3 linked regions of the Rattus norvegicus genome follow. The protein of the gene in region 1 interacts with the protein of each later gene in a pairwise test. Links are inferred from orthologs where the notes say so. Each region holds a gene or a part of one and is shown in the gene's direction. Other genes may lie near its edges.

The links.
Region 2: the proteins of Cryab (region 1) and Crygc interact in binary tests that used the Homo sapiens proteins (3 or more experiments, as listed by UniProt). The link is inferred for Rattus norvegicus from reciprocal best matches to the Homo sapiens genes CRYAB and CRYGC.
Region 3: the proteins of Cryab (region 1) and Lbh interact in a two-hybrid assay, tested with the Homo sapiens proteins (2 studies listed by BioGRID, with this or other methods). The link is inferred for Rattus norvegicus from reciprocal best matches to the Homo sapiens genes CRYAB and LBH.

Annotation. Positions count from the first base shown.
Region 1 is NC_086026.1:59,989,577-59,995,012, forward strand, and holds the start of Cryab (alpha-crystallin B chain), read left to right. Parts: upstream 1-1,954; 5' UTR 1,955-2,283; coding exon 2,284-2,484; intron 2,485-3,511; coding exon 3,512-3,634; intron 3,635-5,436. Other genes in the region: Hspb2 (heat shock protein beta-2), read right to left, coding at 259-713, 1,137-1,230. UniProt on the Homo sapiens protein: May contribute to the transparency and refractive index of the lens. Has chaperone-like activity, preventing aggregation of various proteins under a wide range of stress conditions.
Region 2 is NC_086027.1:73,944,292-73,949,259, reverse strand, and holds Crygc (gamma-crystallin C), read left to right. Parts: upstream 1-1,912; 5' UTR 1,913-1,919; coding exon 1,920-1,928; intron 1,929-2,020; coding exon 2,021-2,263; intron 2,264-3,584; coding exon 3,585-3,860; 3' UTR 3,861-3,928; downstream 3,929-4,968. UniProt on the Homo sapiens protein: Crystallins are the dominant structural components of the vertebrate eye lens.
Region 3 is NC_086024.1:28,338,065-28,342,712, reverse strand, and holds part of Lbh (protein LBH), read left to right. Parts: intron 1-884; coding exon 885-987; intron 988-4,648. UniProt on the Homo sapiens protein: Transcriptional activator which may act in mitogen-activated protein kinase signaling pathway.

The DNA of each region.
Region 1 (5,436 bases):
ACTTTCTGCCCACACGGACGCCATTCGGTCTACCAGGTTACAGACAGGAGCAGCACAAACAAGGCCCCTAGATTTTGGTTTATTTAGCCTCACCCAGAATTAAATCGAAGGCTACGATTCATCAAGGGACCAAACCATACACTGTGGACCATGCACCTATCCCATCTCCCAGGAATGCTGCTCCCTCTGGGGTGTGGTGGATTTCTGGAATCACCACGGGAGGTAGACAGGGGATTCACCGGGTTCTGGGTCTGGCAGTCAGGGTTCAACTCTGGCTACCTCTTCCTCTTCCTCGGGGTCAGGAGGTGCAGGAAGCAGGGAGATGTAGACCTCATTGACTTCCGTGTCCAGATGCCGGCCACCCCGCGGTGCCTCCAAGTTAAGGATGCCATCATGGGAGAGAGCAGCTCTGACCCGCCAGGGGTCCACATCTGCAGGCAGGACATAGGTGCGACAGAACTCTCGGGACACGAAGCCGTGGCGGTCCAGACGTTGGGGGTGTCGGGCAGACACCTCTAGCAGGTTGTCCACAGTCCTCACGGTCACCTCATCTGGGGTAAAGTGGCTCACATCCAGAAATGCCTGGAACTTGCCTTCACTGAGCCTGAGCTCTGAGGCCCCTGCCCTGCCGCCCTCCCCAGCTCTGGCGGCCCGGGGCCGAACATAGTAGCCATGGTAGAGGGTGGGGGTCAGGATCTCTTCTGGCAGGAGGCCTGGGAGCAGAGAAAGAAAGAGAAGGCAAGAGGCAGGATGAGGAAGAATGCAGCGGGCACAGACAGGGCTGAAAGGCGATATCTGGAGATATGGGCTAGAAGAGCAGGTGGGAAACTGTAGAGGGGCTGGGAAAGGAGAGGAGATGGTTACGGAAAAAGCGAGCTGGAACTGGAGGACAGAAGCAAAACCAGAAAATACTCTGAAGCGTGCAAGGCCCGGACACCGAAAGCCCTGCCGATCTAAAGTTTGGTCCTGAAGTCTGTTAGCAAGACCAGAGAGAGTCTTGCTTGAGGGGGGAGTCTGGGGTGGGAGATGGCTCACCTCAGGAGTTCACTTAAGCCCCAGGTAGAGTGGAGGCCAGTGAAGCTGGGCAGTGAGCCCAGAATTTCCGGAGGTGGGGGTAGGAAGCATCTGAGCCATACCTTCTCCGAAGCGCTGCTCGCCCAGGCGGCTAGGGTTGGCAAATTCGTACTCGGCAGTGGCTGGGTGGGCGTGTGGCACTGTGCGGCCCGACATGACTGCTGTTGCGACTAGTAGCCCTGATCCCAAGTGTAGCCCCAACAAGATCAAGGCGACCCCTCCAGCTTCAGAGGGAGAGCCAGGACTCAGTCAGAGTGGGGGCGGGGTCTACACCACCCAAAATAGTGCAGAGCGTCTGGGGGATGGGGGAGGGGTGGGAGCCTAAGTCTAGAGTGCAGCTATGAGGGTGTGATCAGCGCAGCCTGGACCCCCTAAGTCCCCTCCTCTGTATACCCTTCAGCTGTCGCATAGGCCTGGAAGAACAGCTGAGGGTCCTGGTCCTAGAGTAAGCTGGGAAGAGAAACTGGTGCGCTGCAGGAGGGCAAGGAGAGGCCTGGTTGGGCCCTTCACCAATTGTACATTCCACATCACCCTTTGTCCTTATCAGTCTCAGGCACTGAGCACATTACTTAGAAAAAAAAAAAAAAAAAGACAATGTTCTATGAGCCACAGAACGTCAAAAATACAAGAAACATTTTCTGTCTTTTTAATGTCAGGGTCTTCTGAACCTAGATCAACTCGGGGTTCCAGTCAGACACCTAGTTCTGACATATTGGTGGTCACAGCTCTCCTCTGGGACTCCACAAAGAGTTAATGTCCCTGGGGCTCAGCCCAGGAAGATTCCAGCCTCTGCCCAGGCCCAAGATAGTTGCTGGCTCAATTCCCCTGGCATGCAAGACTGGAGAGGAGGAGGGGCCCACCAGCAGCTGCTTGGGATTCCAGACCCTGTCCTGGCTCCAGAGAACAAGGATGGGGTGGGTGGGTGCCACTAGGTGTGGACAGAGAGCTAGTGAAACAAGACCGTGACAAGTCACCGGCCAGCTCAGCCCTGCCCCGTGTTTCTCTTTTCTTAGCTCAGTGAGTACTGGGTATGTGTCACCCTGCCAAATCCCTGATCACAAGTCCCCATGAACTGTCGGGGAGCTGGGATAATAAAACCCCTGACATCACCGTTCCAGAAGCTTCACAAGACTGCATATATAAGGGGCAGGCTGTAGCAGCGGCTGAAGGAGTTGACCGGCTAACCGACTCTACACTCATCTAGCCATCATGGACATAGCCATCCACCACCCCTGGATCCGGCGTCCCTTCTTTCCTTTCCACTCCCCAAGCCGCCTCTTTGACCAGTTCTTCGGAGAGCACCTGTTGGAGTCTGACCTCTTCTCTACAGCCACTTCCCTGAGCCCCTTCTACCTTCGGCCACCCTCCTTCCTGCGGGCACCTAGCTGGATTGACACTGGGCTCTCAGAGGTAAGTCTCCCTTGTGCCAGGGCAGGAATACGTATCCTTCCTGGTCTCTCCATTCCTTTGCCCTTTCACCCTGCCTAAGTCATTTTAGGCATGTGCGTGTGCAAAGGTACAGAGAAATGAGGTTACTGTTTTCTTCTTCCTGTGGGCACCTGTTTCTGTTTGATGCTCCTGTTTCCTGGTCCATTTTTCTGTGCATGGTGCCTCTTTCTCCTCTTTCAACTCCTTTACCCACCTCTTTAATAGTCCCAGTCCTGGCAGATTTTATCATCTCAAACTGTAGAGATCAGATAGAAACCCACTCATTCTGGGCTTTTCCTGTCTTCTTTCCTCCCCACTTCCTTTTGATGGAGCTGGATACATCAATCAATATTCTCTCTCTCTCTCTCTCTCTCTCTCTCTCTCTCTCTCTCTCTCTCTTCCTTGGCCTATGACTTTCCGGGTTCCTCGGGGCTGAGACAGTGCATTGACTTCAGTCCATGCCTTAAGAGGACCGCTCTTGGGAAGCCCTGACTTCTTATCTCAGCAGCGTGGGAGATAAGATTAACAGAGGTTGTCACAGATAACACTGTGGTTTAAAAATATTCGCGTGTGAGGAAACAGGAGCTGAGTGAGCAAGGGCTTTGGAAGGACAGAACATTCCAGATCGAGTGGGTTGGAAACTTGGCAGGCAACTGAACAAGAAAAAGGGGGCTTTTGTTTTATAGACAAATGACAAAGCCAGCACTGGGTAGAGAGGCAGCAGATGCCATCCCCAGACCCATTCTTGTGACTAGTCTCCTACTGACCCGTCTTCTTCCCTGTGCCTCTCGGTAAAGTTTGGGACTGATGGATGACTAAGAGGTGTCTTTTGGGTATCACCATGGTGGCTCACATATACCAGTGTCACTAGTCATAAGAGGATTTTTCCCCCAGCAGCCAGGTAGAGGATGGATTACCAGGGCAGGAAGTAAATCTCCTGGACGATGAGCCTTCTCCAGCTTAATGGACATTCTACCATCTTTTCTCCTCCGCCCCCTTGTTATTCTAGATGCGTATGGAGAAGGACAGGTTCTCTGTGAACCTGGACGTGAAGCACTTCTCTCCAGAGGAACTCAAAGTCAAGGTTCTGGGAGACGTGATTGAGGTGCACGGCAAGCACGAAGAGCGCCAGGTGTGTGGACCTTTCTGCCTTCTCTTGTGAATTCATTTAGTGCCCTGCTGGATGCCAGGGACTGCCGCCACCAGCCTCTGAGGCTGGCAGAATTCCAGTCCCCAAACATAAGACTAGATCAGGAGTTATAGATCAATGGCTGGGAAACAAGTTAGGGCTAGATCTGCTGTTAGTGTTGTGGCTGTGCTGAGAGAACTTTCCCCTGGATGTTCCTTTTGATTGCCTTGTCTTGTCCAGTGACGTCAGAATAGCAGAAGAATTCTCAACATTCCCAACCCTCAGCACATCCTAGGCCAATTGAATCTGAAGTTTTAGGGACATAGCTCAGGCATCAACCTTTAAACAAACAAACAAACAAACTCACTCCTTGGGTACTTTCTGTACCCCAAACTGGCAGCCATTGCTCTAGGCACAGTGTGCTGTACATAATGGCTCTGCGAAATGACAGTCACCACGGAGTCGAAGGCAATAAAATCTGTGGCTTTTGAATGTTCAGGATTCCATGCCTCTTCTGCTCAGTTTAATGCTATGCTACTTGGTTTGTCTGCTTTTCAGAGCTTCAGGCTTATGGCTGTGAGGAAGTTAATTGAGATTTGTTTGTGTGGATGCTTGGGGTACTTGGGATTCAATAGGTAACAGGATTAGCATCCACAATTCCTCTTGCATTTTTAGCATTTTTTTTTCTTGACTTCCTAAAAAGGTGTTATGATTGCTTCTTAAAAATTAATGACTTGGGGGGCTGGGGATTTAGCTCAGTGGTAGAGCGCTTACCTAGGAAGCGCAAGGTCCTGGGTTCGGTCCCCAGCTCCGAAAAAAAAGAACCAAAAAAAAAAAAATTAATGACTTGGGGTTGGGGATTTAGCTCAGCGGTAGAGCGTTTGCCTAGCAAGCGCAAGGCCCTGGGTTCAGTCCCCAGCTCCGAAAAAAAGAAAAGAAAAAAAAATTAATGACTTAGGGCCTGGAGAGATGGCTCAGCAGTTAAAAGCACTGACCGCTCTTCCAGAGGTCCTGCATACAATTCCCAGCAACCACATGGTGGCTCACAACCATCTGTAATGGGATCCAATGCCCTCTTCTGGCATGCAGGTGTACATGCAGATAGAGTGCTCATACATAAAATTAAAAAAATCTTAACAAAAAATAACTCAGCTGTGCCGTGGTGGTGCATGCCTTTAATCCCAACATTTGGGAGGCAGAGGTAGACAGATCTAAGTTAGAGGCCAGCTTAGACTACAGAATGAGTTCCAGGAGAGCAGGAGCTCAACAGAGAAACCCTACTTATCTCAAACAAAACAAAAAACAAAAATCAATACCTCGGTTTTGCTCATGATTTAGGACTGGACCACAGTGTCACTGATAGGGTCACCTTATATAATATCAGCAATATTATACTAGAAACATTCTGAGACATTCCTGAGCAATTAGAACAATTTATGGGCTTCCTATAAGATACAGACATACTCGGGGTTGGGGATTTGGCTCAGTGGTAGAGCGTTTGCCTAGGAAGCGCAAGGTCCTGGGTTCGGTCCCCAGCCCTGAAAAAAAGAAAAAAGAAAAAAAAAAAAGATACAGACATACTCAATGCCAAAGTGGGAGTCTAAATTCCATGGTCCAGTCAACATGGATTCATTCCTTTGTGGAAATGCCCTGAATTGTAGTTGTGTCTCCGAATATGAAGATCTATGAAATTCGGGGCTGTTTCAGATTTCCTACACTCTGATTGGTAGGTGTGTCCATCTGGACAGTTTATTCTAGCCTTAAACCTGGACAAACAGCTCTGGACTTAGCTATCTGCATATTTA
Region 2 (4,968 bases), on another chromosome or scaffold:
TGTGTGTGTGATGTATGTGTGTGCTTGTGTGTGTGTGTGGTGTGTGTGTATGTGTGTATGTGTGTGATGTGTATGGATGTGTGGGTGTGATGTATGTGTGTGTGGTGTGTGTGTGTATGTGTGTTCATGGTGTCTACATTTGTGTGTGGTGTGTGTGTATGTATGAATGTGATATATGTGTGAGTGTGTATGTGTGAGTGTGTGTGGTGTGTGAGTGTGTGTGGTGTGTATGTGATATGTGTGAGTGTGTATGTGAGTGTGTAATGTGTGTGTATGTGTGAGTGTGTGTGTGAGTGTGTGTGTGATGTGTGTGTGTGAGTGTGTGTGGTGTGTATGTGATATATGTGAGTGTGTATGTATGAGTATGTGATGTGTGTGAGTGTGTGTGGTGTGTATGTGATATATGTGAGTGTGTATGTATGAGTATGTGATGTGTGTGAGTGTGTGTGGTGTGTATGTGATATGTATGAGTGTGTATGTGTGAGTGTGTGATGTGTGTGTGTATGTGTGAGTGTGTGGTGTGTGTGGTGTGTATGTGATGTGTGTGAGTGTGTGAGTGTGTGTGATGTGTGTGAGTGTGTGAGTGTGTGTGTGGTGTGTATGTGATATATGTGAGTGTGTATGTATGAGTATGTGATGTGTGTGAGTGTGTGTGGTGTGTACGTGATGTGTGTGAGTGTGTGAGTGTGTGTGTGTGTGAGTGTGTGTGTGTTTGTCCTAATCCACTAAGTCTGATTAGTGTTGTCTGTGTGTGTGTGTGTGTGAGTGTGTGTGTGGTGTGTATGTGATATATGTGAGTGTGTATGTATGAGTATGTGATGTGTGTGAGTGTGTGTGTTGTGTGTATGTGATATGTGTGAGTGTGTGTGGTGTGTACGTGATGTGTGTGAGTGTGTGTGTGTAAGTGTGTGTGTGTGTGAGTGTGTGTGTATGTGTGTTTATTAGCAAGGCTCTGCTGGCATCTATGAGACATTGTATTTGATAAACAAATAGCTAAAAAGTATTTTAAAGTGACGGTTAGTCATTTGGGCCCACAAGGACAGTACAGTGCTCAGCAGCCTCTGGGTGGCTGTAGGTTTGTCTTTGTTCAAACAAAATCACTTTGAATAACCTTGTCTGAGGGGACTTATTAAGACTGTTTATATCTAACAGCTGAATAGCAGGTCCTAGGCAGAGGCGCTGGATCAGGTGACTCTGACACAGGAGGTATACGTCTTCCCTGGCCTTGGAAGCAAGTAATTCGTACTTTCGTACATCTTTGACGGTCTTGGGCCTCACAACCATAGAAATTTTTTCCTTTGTTCTTAACTCAAGCTGGTTACTAGGGACGGATTTTGACTCACGTACTGTGAAACCACCAAGGTGGAAGCTAGCTTAGGTCCTAGAGTATCAGCTCAACATAGCCTGGAAAAGCCAAGATCCAAATCTAGGTTTGTGTCCTGTACTGAACAAGCAAACCCTGTAAAGAAAAGCAGGGGGAAGAGGAATAAGATCGCCTGGTCTCTGTTGCACTAGTCGCTGCAGTATTCGAAGAATTCCAGCATTCTCAATTCTGGGGATACTTCTACGAATGCGCAGATTCCTCCCAGATTTACCAAGTATAATGGAATCAAAATGTAGGGACGTGGACTTCAGGTCAAAAGTTCAGGCTGATGTGCTGATAAATTTAAAAAACGGTAAGAATCGGAATAAAGCAACTCTGACCAGCTAGCTCATCCAGGGCAGCGTTGGAACACACTAGAGAACCAGGCGAATCTACAGTCACCGCCACTGAATGCAGCCCGTAAAAGCCATCCATGAAATTCCCTCAGCCCGGAGGGCCCCTTTTGTGCAGTTCCGCTAACACAGCAACAACCCTCCTGCTATATAGACCGGCCCCGCTCTGCCTGGACACTGAACTCACCACGGGTCAGCCAGCCATGGGGAAGGTGAGCAGAACGCAAACTAAACGAAAAGTCAGACTGAACCGCCTTGACCCAAGGAGCAAAAGATCTCATTCAGAATTGCTCTTCCTTTACAGATCACCTTCTACGAGGACCGAGGCTTCCAGGGCCGCTGCTATGAGTGCAGCAGCGACTGCCCCAACCTGCAGACCTACTTCAGCCGCTGCAACTCCGTCCGCGTGGACAGTGGCTGCTGGATGCTCTATGAGCGACCCAACTACCAGGGCCACCAGTACTTCCTGCGACGCGGGGACTACCCTGACTACCAGCAGTGGATGGGTTTCAGCGACTCCATTCGCTCCTGCCGCCTCATCCCCCATGTGAGTCCTGTTTGATTTCATTTCTTGCTGCCGAGGGGTCCTCACTGTTTTACTGATCCAGAGAATAGGGTTTGTTTGTCTGTCTGTCTGTCTGTCTGTTTGTTTGTTTGTTTTTTCTGAGTATCTAAGTGTTAAGTGGTCCTCAAATGCCTGCCTAAGTCTAAGAGAATACAGGCAGGAAAACAGAATTATAAGGAAGAATCCACTTTCAGAAGGTCCAGTTGTTTTTTGTTTTGTTTTTTTTTAATTTTCTTTGCTACCATTAGATTAATCAAAAGTTGTCCCAACGAATGTAATCTTATGCAGGGATATAAAACAAAACTAGTTGGGAATGAGAGGGTAATTACACTCATCAGATTGATTTTTATGTATTTAATAAAGGGATTCCTGGTAAGGGAGTTAATTAAACTTTATTGTGGAGTAGAAAACATTGAAAAGTACGGAGATCAGAAACTGTACGGGCAGAACTCAAATGATAATTTTCCTTAGTTTTGAAGATCGGCTCAGTTCTCATTATAAGCGGTTATTTAAATTAACTTTCCACAGAAGTGTGTGATTTTTCAGAACTCCACTTTAGCCAGGCATAGTGATAGCCTGGATTCCTAGGGTCCAGGAAGCTGAGACAAAAGTATTTTAAGTTTGATGGTAATCTAGGTTATAAAATAAACAGAATGGGACAGATGGAAATGATATGAAATTCTCAAAAAACAAAAATATATATAAATAAAAAATCCTATTTTATATATAAAAATTATATATTTTTATGTATAAAAATATATATAACTAAAAAAATACTAGTTAAAATATGTATTTGTATACCCTCCAACATACAGCTTAGAATGAATATAAGAAATTGTGAATTAAGATATTTTAATTTTTGATATGCTCAAATTCACTTGTAATATCTTATAAGTCCCACCTCCTAGATCAGTGGGTTCTCAACTCTCCTAATGCCACAACCGTTTAAAAAAGTTCCTTATGTTGTGGTGACCCCTAGCCATAAAATTCCTTTTGTTGCTACTTCCTAACTGTAATTTTGCTACTGTCGTGTATCATAATATAGATACCCGTGTTTTCCGATGGTCTTAAGCCATCACTGTAAACAGGTCATTGGACCTATAGATTGAGAACCACTGTTCTAAATGAAAAGAAACCTGGGCGTCTCTAATGCGAGCAGGAGACCCATCCATGAATAGCTCTCCAAAATCTCGCAGGCTCAGATCTTACTCCAACAGCCCCCTGCCTCACCCGTTGTTTAGCTTGGGTGAGTTCTGGAAGAGACTCAACTGCTCTTTTCTCATCTTTCTTTGTGTGACCCAAGCAGACAGGTTCCCACAGGATGCGTCTGTATGAGAAAGAAGATCACAAAGGCGTCATGATGGAGCTGAGTGAAGACTGCTCCTGCATCCAGGACCGCTTCCACCTCAGTGAGGTGCGCTCGCTGCACGTGCTAGAGGGCTGCTGGGTCCTCTATGAGATGTCTAACTACCGAGGCCGGCAGTATCTGCTGAGGCCTCAAGAGTACCGGCGCTACCACGACTGGGGCGCTGTAGATGCTAAGGCAGGCTCTTTGCGGAGGGTGGTAGATTTATACTAAAATAGGTGAACGCTACCATTTTCTCATTTTGGAACCTAATAAAGTATTTAGTCTGTATTGTTGGCAAACCTTGACTTCTGTTATTCTTTCATTGTGTGCAAATACATCCACCTGTAAACTCTCCCTACAGAAGGTGGAGCTGAGAATGGAGAGGTTAGGGTGTTCAAGAACTTTTTAATGGTGTTAACTTTGAACAAGTCTTAGATGGCTGGGGATCTATGTATGTGTCTCAGTGATAGAGCTTTTATTCAGTGTGCACAAGGTCCTGGGCTCGATCCCTAACACTACCAGAAAGAAAAGAAAAAAGTTCAGGTGGAGGGAGACTGTACCTGGTGTGGTAGGGAGGGTACACCACGTGGGGGAGGGTGTACTGTGTTGGGGAGGGTACACCATGTGGGGGAGGGTGTACCATGTGGGGGAGGTTATACCATGTGGGGGAGGGTGCACCATGTGGGTGAGGGTATACTGTGTTGGGGAAGGTATACCATGGTAGGGAGGGTATAGCTGCCGGACAATGAAAGGCCAGGTCAAGCTGAAGACACGGCAACAAGACAAACTACCAGGGAGGAAGTAGTTATCTGACAACCTTGAAGAACAACACAGTCAAAGTTGTCTTCTAATCCTGGAAGTGATTGGAGTCCAATGTTGACAAACAGCCTATCAAGACTCATAAGAGAACTAATTTCATTTACTATAGAACACAATATCACCTCAACAAGACTAGAGGTGACACCAACCTCACAAAGTTAAAACCCACTTCCTTCTGAAACCATTCCCAATGAGAAAGAGTCTTAGCCATCCAATCTAAACAGTCCTCCATTAAGACTCTTCCTGTTGGGCAGTAATGGTACAGGCCTTTAATTCCAGCACTCAGGAAGCAGAGGCAGGGGGACGTCTGAGTTCGAAGAGGCCAACCTGGTCTACAGAGTGAGTTCCAGGACAGCCAGAGTTTGTACAGAGAGAAACCCTGTTTGGGGGGTTGGGGTGGGCAGGTGGGACTTTCTTTCCAAGTCATTTTGGGTTGTGTCAAGTTGCTGATTGTATTATTACATTTCTATTTCCATTGTCATCAAAAGGAACTTATAAAAGAAAGCATGTGTTTAAGCTT
Region 3 (4,648 bases), on another chromosome or scaffold:
ATGTGATCGTGAAAATACCGGGTGTTGTGCCATGGGTATTGGGTATGAATATTCGGTACCATGCTTACTGAACTCCGTGTATGTCCCACCGCCTGTGCAAGGATAATGCGTTGTTTGTACACTGCTTAGGGAGTACAAAGTACTTTCACATGTCAGCCATTGGTGGGCCAAGTTGGCCCTTCTGGAAATTTCCTTGCACTCAGAATCTGTACCCTTAAGGCTTTTAATCCAGGGATGTTTTTCATGCTGGGAGTTAGCAGCAGCAGCTGCTAGAACTCCAGAAGGGGTGGCAGATGTGAAGCTTGCAGAAAAGCTGACCCCTTGGGGTGGGACATTTTGCCTAAAGGAGCACCAGACAGACAGAGACAGTGAAGAAGGTACCATGATTAGATGATTAGACTTTGTCTCCCGGAGGCTGGACTGCTATTGTTATTATGTAATCCTACTGTGCAGTTCCCACTGGAAATCCATGGGCAAGATTACTCTCATTTTTAATGGGTGAAGGGAAACCTGGCTGCATTATTTTCATGTGGACACACAGACGCAGCACTCCCCCAACCCCACCCCCGCCCGTGCTGCCACCGTTGTGTTTCTAGTTTGTTTAAAAGAAAATTCAATTTGCTTTGTGAAGGGGTTGGGGTGTGTGTGTGTGTGTGTGTGTGTGTGTGTGTGTGTGTGTGCAAGTGTGTGTGTGAAGTTGCAGAGGGCAGGCTTTGCCTCTTGAGGCCAGTGAGCCACAGTGCTGTAGGCCTGCTGGTTTTTTGCTCCTGTGAGCTTGCTTCGCTGTGAACTGTTTGAGCATTTCTCATCTTGCCTTTAGCCAATCCCCGGATCTTAGGGCCCGTGTGAGCATGCACTGACTTCTAGTGTGGATCTCCTTCCAGCTCTGACTATCTGAGATCGGCTGAGATGACTGAGGTGATGATGAATGCTCCCTCCATGGAAGAGATTGGCCTCAGCCCCCGCAAGGATGGCCTTTCCTATCAGGTGAGCTCAAACTTCTTGGAGCCTTGTGACTTCTGCCGAGACTGGAAGTAGGCTTGGTTTGAGGAATCCCAGTATCACCTGTAAGAGTCTGAGGGTCCAGGTATTGCCTGTAACAGCTGGGTCACCTTGAGAAAGTCCTTGACTGACAGCGAGCTTCAGTCTCTCCATTTGTCAGAGGAAGCAACCATGGTGTGCATCCTAGAGGAGTATGACAAAGAGTCAAGGTGATGGGGGAGGGTGAGTTGATGGCATTTACAGTGCCGGGACACCTAGGGGTTCAGCAAACAGTGACTGACATCACTAGCTAGCCTTTCTGATCTTCCCCAACAACAGCAGACTGCTCTCCCCAGCCAGGCTTTTCCCAGGAAAAATGCAGCCATGAGGTGAGGCAGCTGATAGGGAAGGGTGGTCTGATAGGAGAATGGCTATCTGTCATCTCAGGGTGATAATTGACCTGCTGAGTCAGAGTTCAAGTTTAAATTGCACAGAGCTGAAGAGGACAGCCTCTTAGAGATGCTGAGAGAGGCTGCGGCCTAGGGATCATCCTGTCTTGTGGGGATAAACATGGAGGACAGCGAGAACAGAATAGAAGGCTTTCTTTTCTCTCCCTCTTGGCCAGTGTGGTGAAGCTTCACTGTGACAGCGAGGTGGAGGGATAGCATCCCAGTCAGTAGGAGCACTTTGGTTACCTCAGGTTTGCAAGCATCAGAGAGTCCCTAGATGGCAAATTTGGAGGAGAGACTATGTGTGAGGGAATGTGTTGAGGCTGAGGGTATTGTGTAAAGCAGCTAGCCTAGGCAAGAAGGAAGGAGCATGAAGTGCAAAGCACTTGGCACACATTACCTTGTTCATTTTTTGCTGTATCCCAAGGGAATGCCCAGTTATACTGAGACCCCAGGCCTGCCGTGTATGGGGGCTTGGATCTCTACTCCTAATGTTTCTGATCTTCTGACATATCCTGTGCCTTCACGCTGGGCTAGTTCTGACCTGAGTCTAGACTTACTCCGGCTGCTTGTTCCTCAGAGCCGTTTCAGGGACAATTATTTTGTAAAGAATGAAACGAATAGAAGAACTGGGCTGGGAGCCATTTGATGGGAGGAGAGTAGTCAAGAAGAAGCCAAGAGGCAAGCTAAGATTGGAAGCAAGTCTTCAGATACCAGACATGCTTGGCGGACTCAGGAATCCCTTTGTTTTGTGTCAACACCTCAGACCTCACTTGTTGGCCTGCAGGGGGTGATGAGGGGCCTAAGGGAAAAGGCTCTTCTAACCTTCCTTTCCTGGAGAGGGACTGAGAAAGGCAGTTGAGAGCCCCTGTGGCCAGGTGGGAGGTACAGAAATTTCCTGACCCACCTGCCTGTGTAGTTTTGGCTACTAATTTCCAAGCCTCTGAGTCAGACTGAATGTCTGGTTACAGGTGAGGGCGTATTTTCAGTTCCGGGTTGTAGATTTCCACCACAGAACCTTTCCGAGCTGTACCTGACAGTGTGTTTCTATTTCTCCTTTAACTATATCCCAGGCAAGAGAGTTAGGCAACCTTCTCAGCCCTGTAACCCTCAGAGCACATCTCGTTGACCGTGGGGGAGCGGGATGGGGGCTGGAGAAAAAGAAAAGCATCTCTGGGTTCTTGCAATATGTAGACACCTCTTGAGAAAAAGGCTTCCAAAGTTTGTTTTTTTCCCCCCTTCATCCCTCTGTATTGAGGGCCCAGTTCCCACAACCCCCAGGAAGTCAATCTCTGTCCCCGGGTGGGGACCACTGCCCCATGTGCAAACACTTTACTCAGAACTGTAGGAACTGTTAAGCCCTCTGGTCATAGATGGCTTCAGACAAGGCTCTTGGTTGTCTAGTGAAAAGGGAAAGTTTCAGTGTTTAGCCAAATGGTATTTACTAGACACTTTCTACATTCAGCCTGACGGGTTGTTGCGCTCAGAGCCTGGGGCTTACGGGAACCAGCATGTACATATACTTCTGGAACACAGCAGTCTACCCGAAACGTGTGGGCACTGATGATGTGTGATGCTACAGAATGTGAGATGTTATGAGGCAGGGAATCAGCGAGCGGTGGGCTTTGAAGGAAAGTGGGAGCCTCAGGGGAAAGGGCGGGCAACCCCATCTCTCACATGTAATTCTACTGCAGCTCCAGATACCCTTTGGCTGCACATGTTTATGCAAAGTGTGGGGCTCTGCCGTGAGCTGGTCTGGCAACTGTCAAATGATGGGTACACCCCGGGCCCCCACAAAGCTGGTGTCCTCAAATTAAAAGCTTTCCCACCAATGCCCCAGGGATTGGCTGGGCCCGGCTCTTAGCTAAAGCCTATCGCCCTGCATGCTTGGGCTCTGCTTGGAGCTAAGGGTGGGAACTGAGTGCTCTCTTCTTGGCTTTACTCCTGAGGATAATAATAGTATGTGGCTTTTACTGAGACCTGCTTTTCCAAGGAACCGAGTGAGGCCTGGAGACAGCAACTCCGACTTGGCAGATGAAATACAATCTCAGGCTTGTGATTTGACCTTGAAACAAGGTCATCATATAAGTGGCCCATTGGACGTTCAGGTCACTCCCCTACCTTACAGACCCACTCAGAATCAAGCTTTGCTGAGTTCTCTATGGTGTATACGGCCATCCTTTCCGTGCCTGTGGAACTTTATACTTTCTAACGATGCTGTGATGGATTTTCAGGACATGGGTCCTGCATTTTCTTCAATGCCAGCCAGGGCCTTGCTATCAACACTGCATCCTTTAGCCATCATCCTTTCCCCGTTCATGTACCGATACATTTACAGAGAAGCTGTAAGGGGAAGGGTATCCTGATTTGGAACTTAGCCATCTTTACCTCTGTGGTGGCCTCTGAAGGTCCTGCTGAACGTTTTATCCCCCAAAGGATTCGGGTTAGGTCTTCTATTATTCTTCAGAAATTCACAGCAATAATTGTTCGTGTTTAGTTTTATTTTACTTCATTTTGGGACGGGGTCTCGTGCATTCTATAGCAAAAGGTGACTTTAAACTCTTAATCCCCCTGCCTCCACCTCTTCAGTGCTGGGCTTATAGGCACAGATCACCATGGCCAGTTTATGTGGTGCCGGGGATCAAACCCAGGGCCTCATGCACGCCAGGCAAGCAGGGTGCCAATGGAGAGCTACGTCCCCAGACCTGAGTTCACGCCATTCTGTGAGCACACATAATAATCTGGAGCTAGTGTCTTGTGTTGTCTCCATATCCATCTGGAGAGTTATTCAAATAAGTGAAACCCACGTGGCACGTTTATTTGGCAGGAATTATCACACCGCACGGGGTGGGTGAGTAAATGGTTACTAGAAAGCCGAGTCCATTTAGCTCCGGCTGTGGGCGGTGGCATGCTCTCAGAGGCTCGTGGGAGGGTCTCTGTGAGGATATTGATGTCTTTAAGGGCTCCATGCCTATGCTGTGTCTATGGGCTTCCCAGTCAGTCACCAGCCTATGGGACAGGAACGTGGGCCATCCAGTGCAAGCCGATCACTGGATGCCTGGTGGAGCCTACTCTTTCTACCGACCCACGACTATAAGGACGTGATGTATGTGTCTTTCTCTGAAGGTTCCTCTCATATTGGCCAGAGCTCTTTATGAGGAAGGTTTCTACTTATTCCCCTATGAACCCTATACTGATGAACCCTAAGGGGGTCCTGG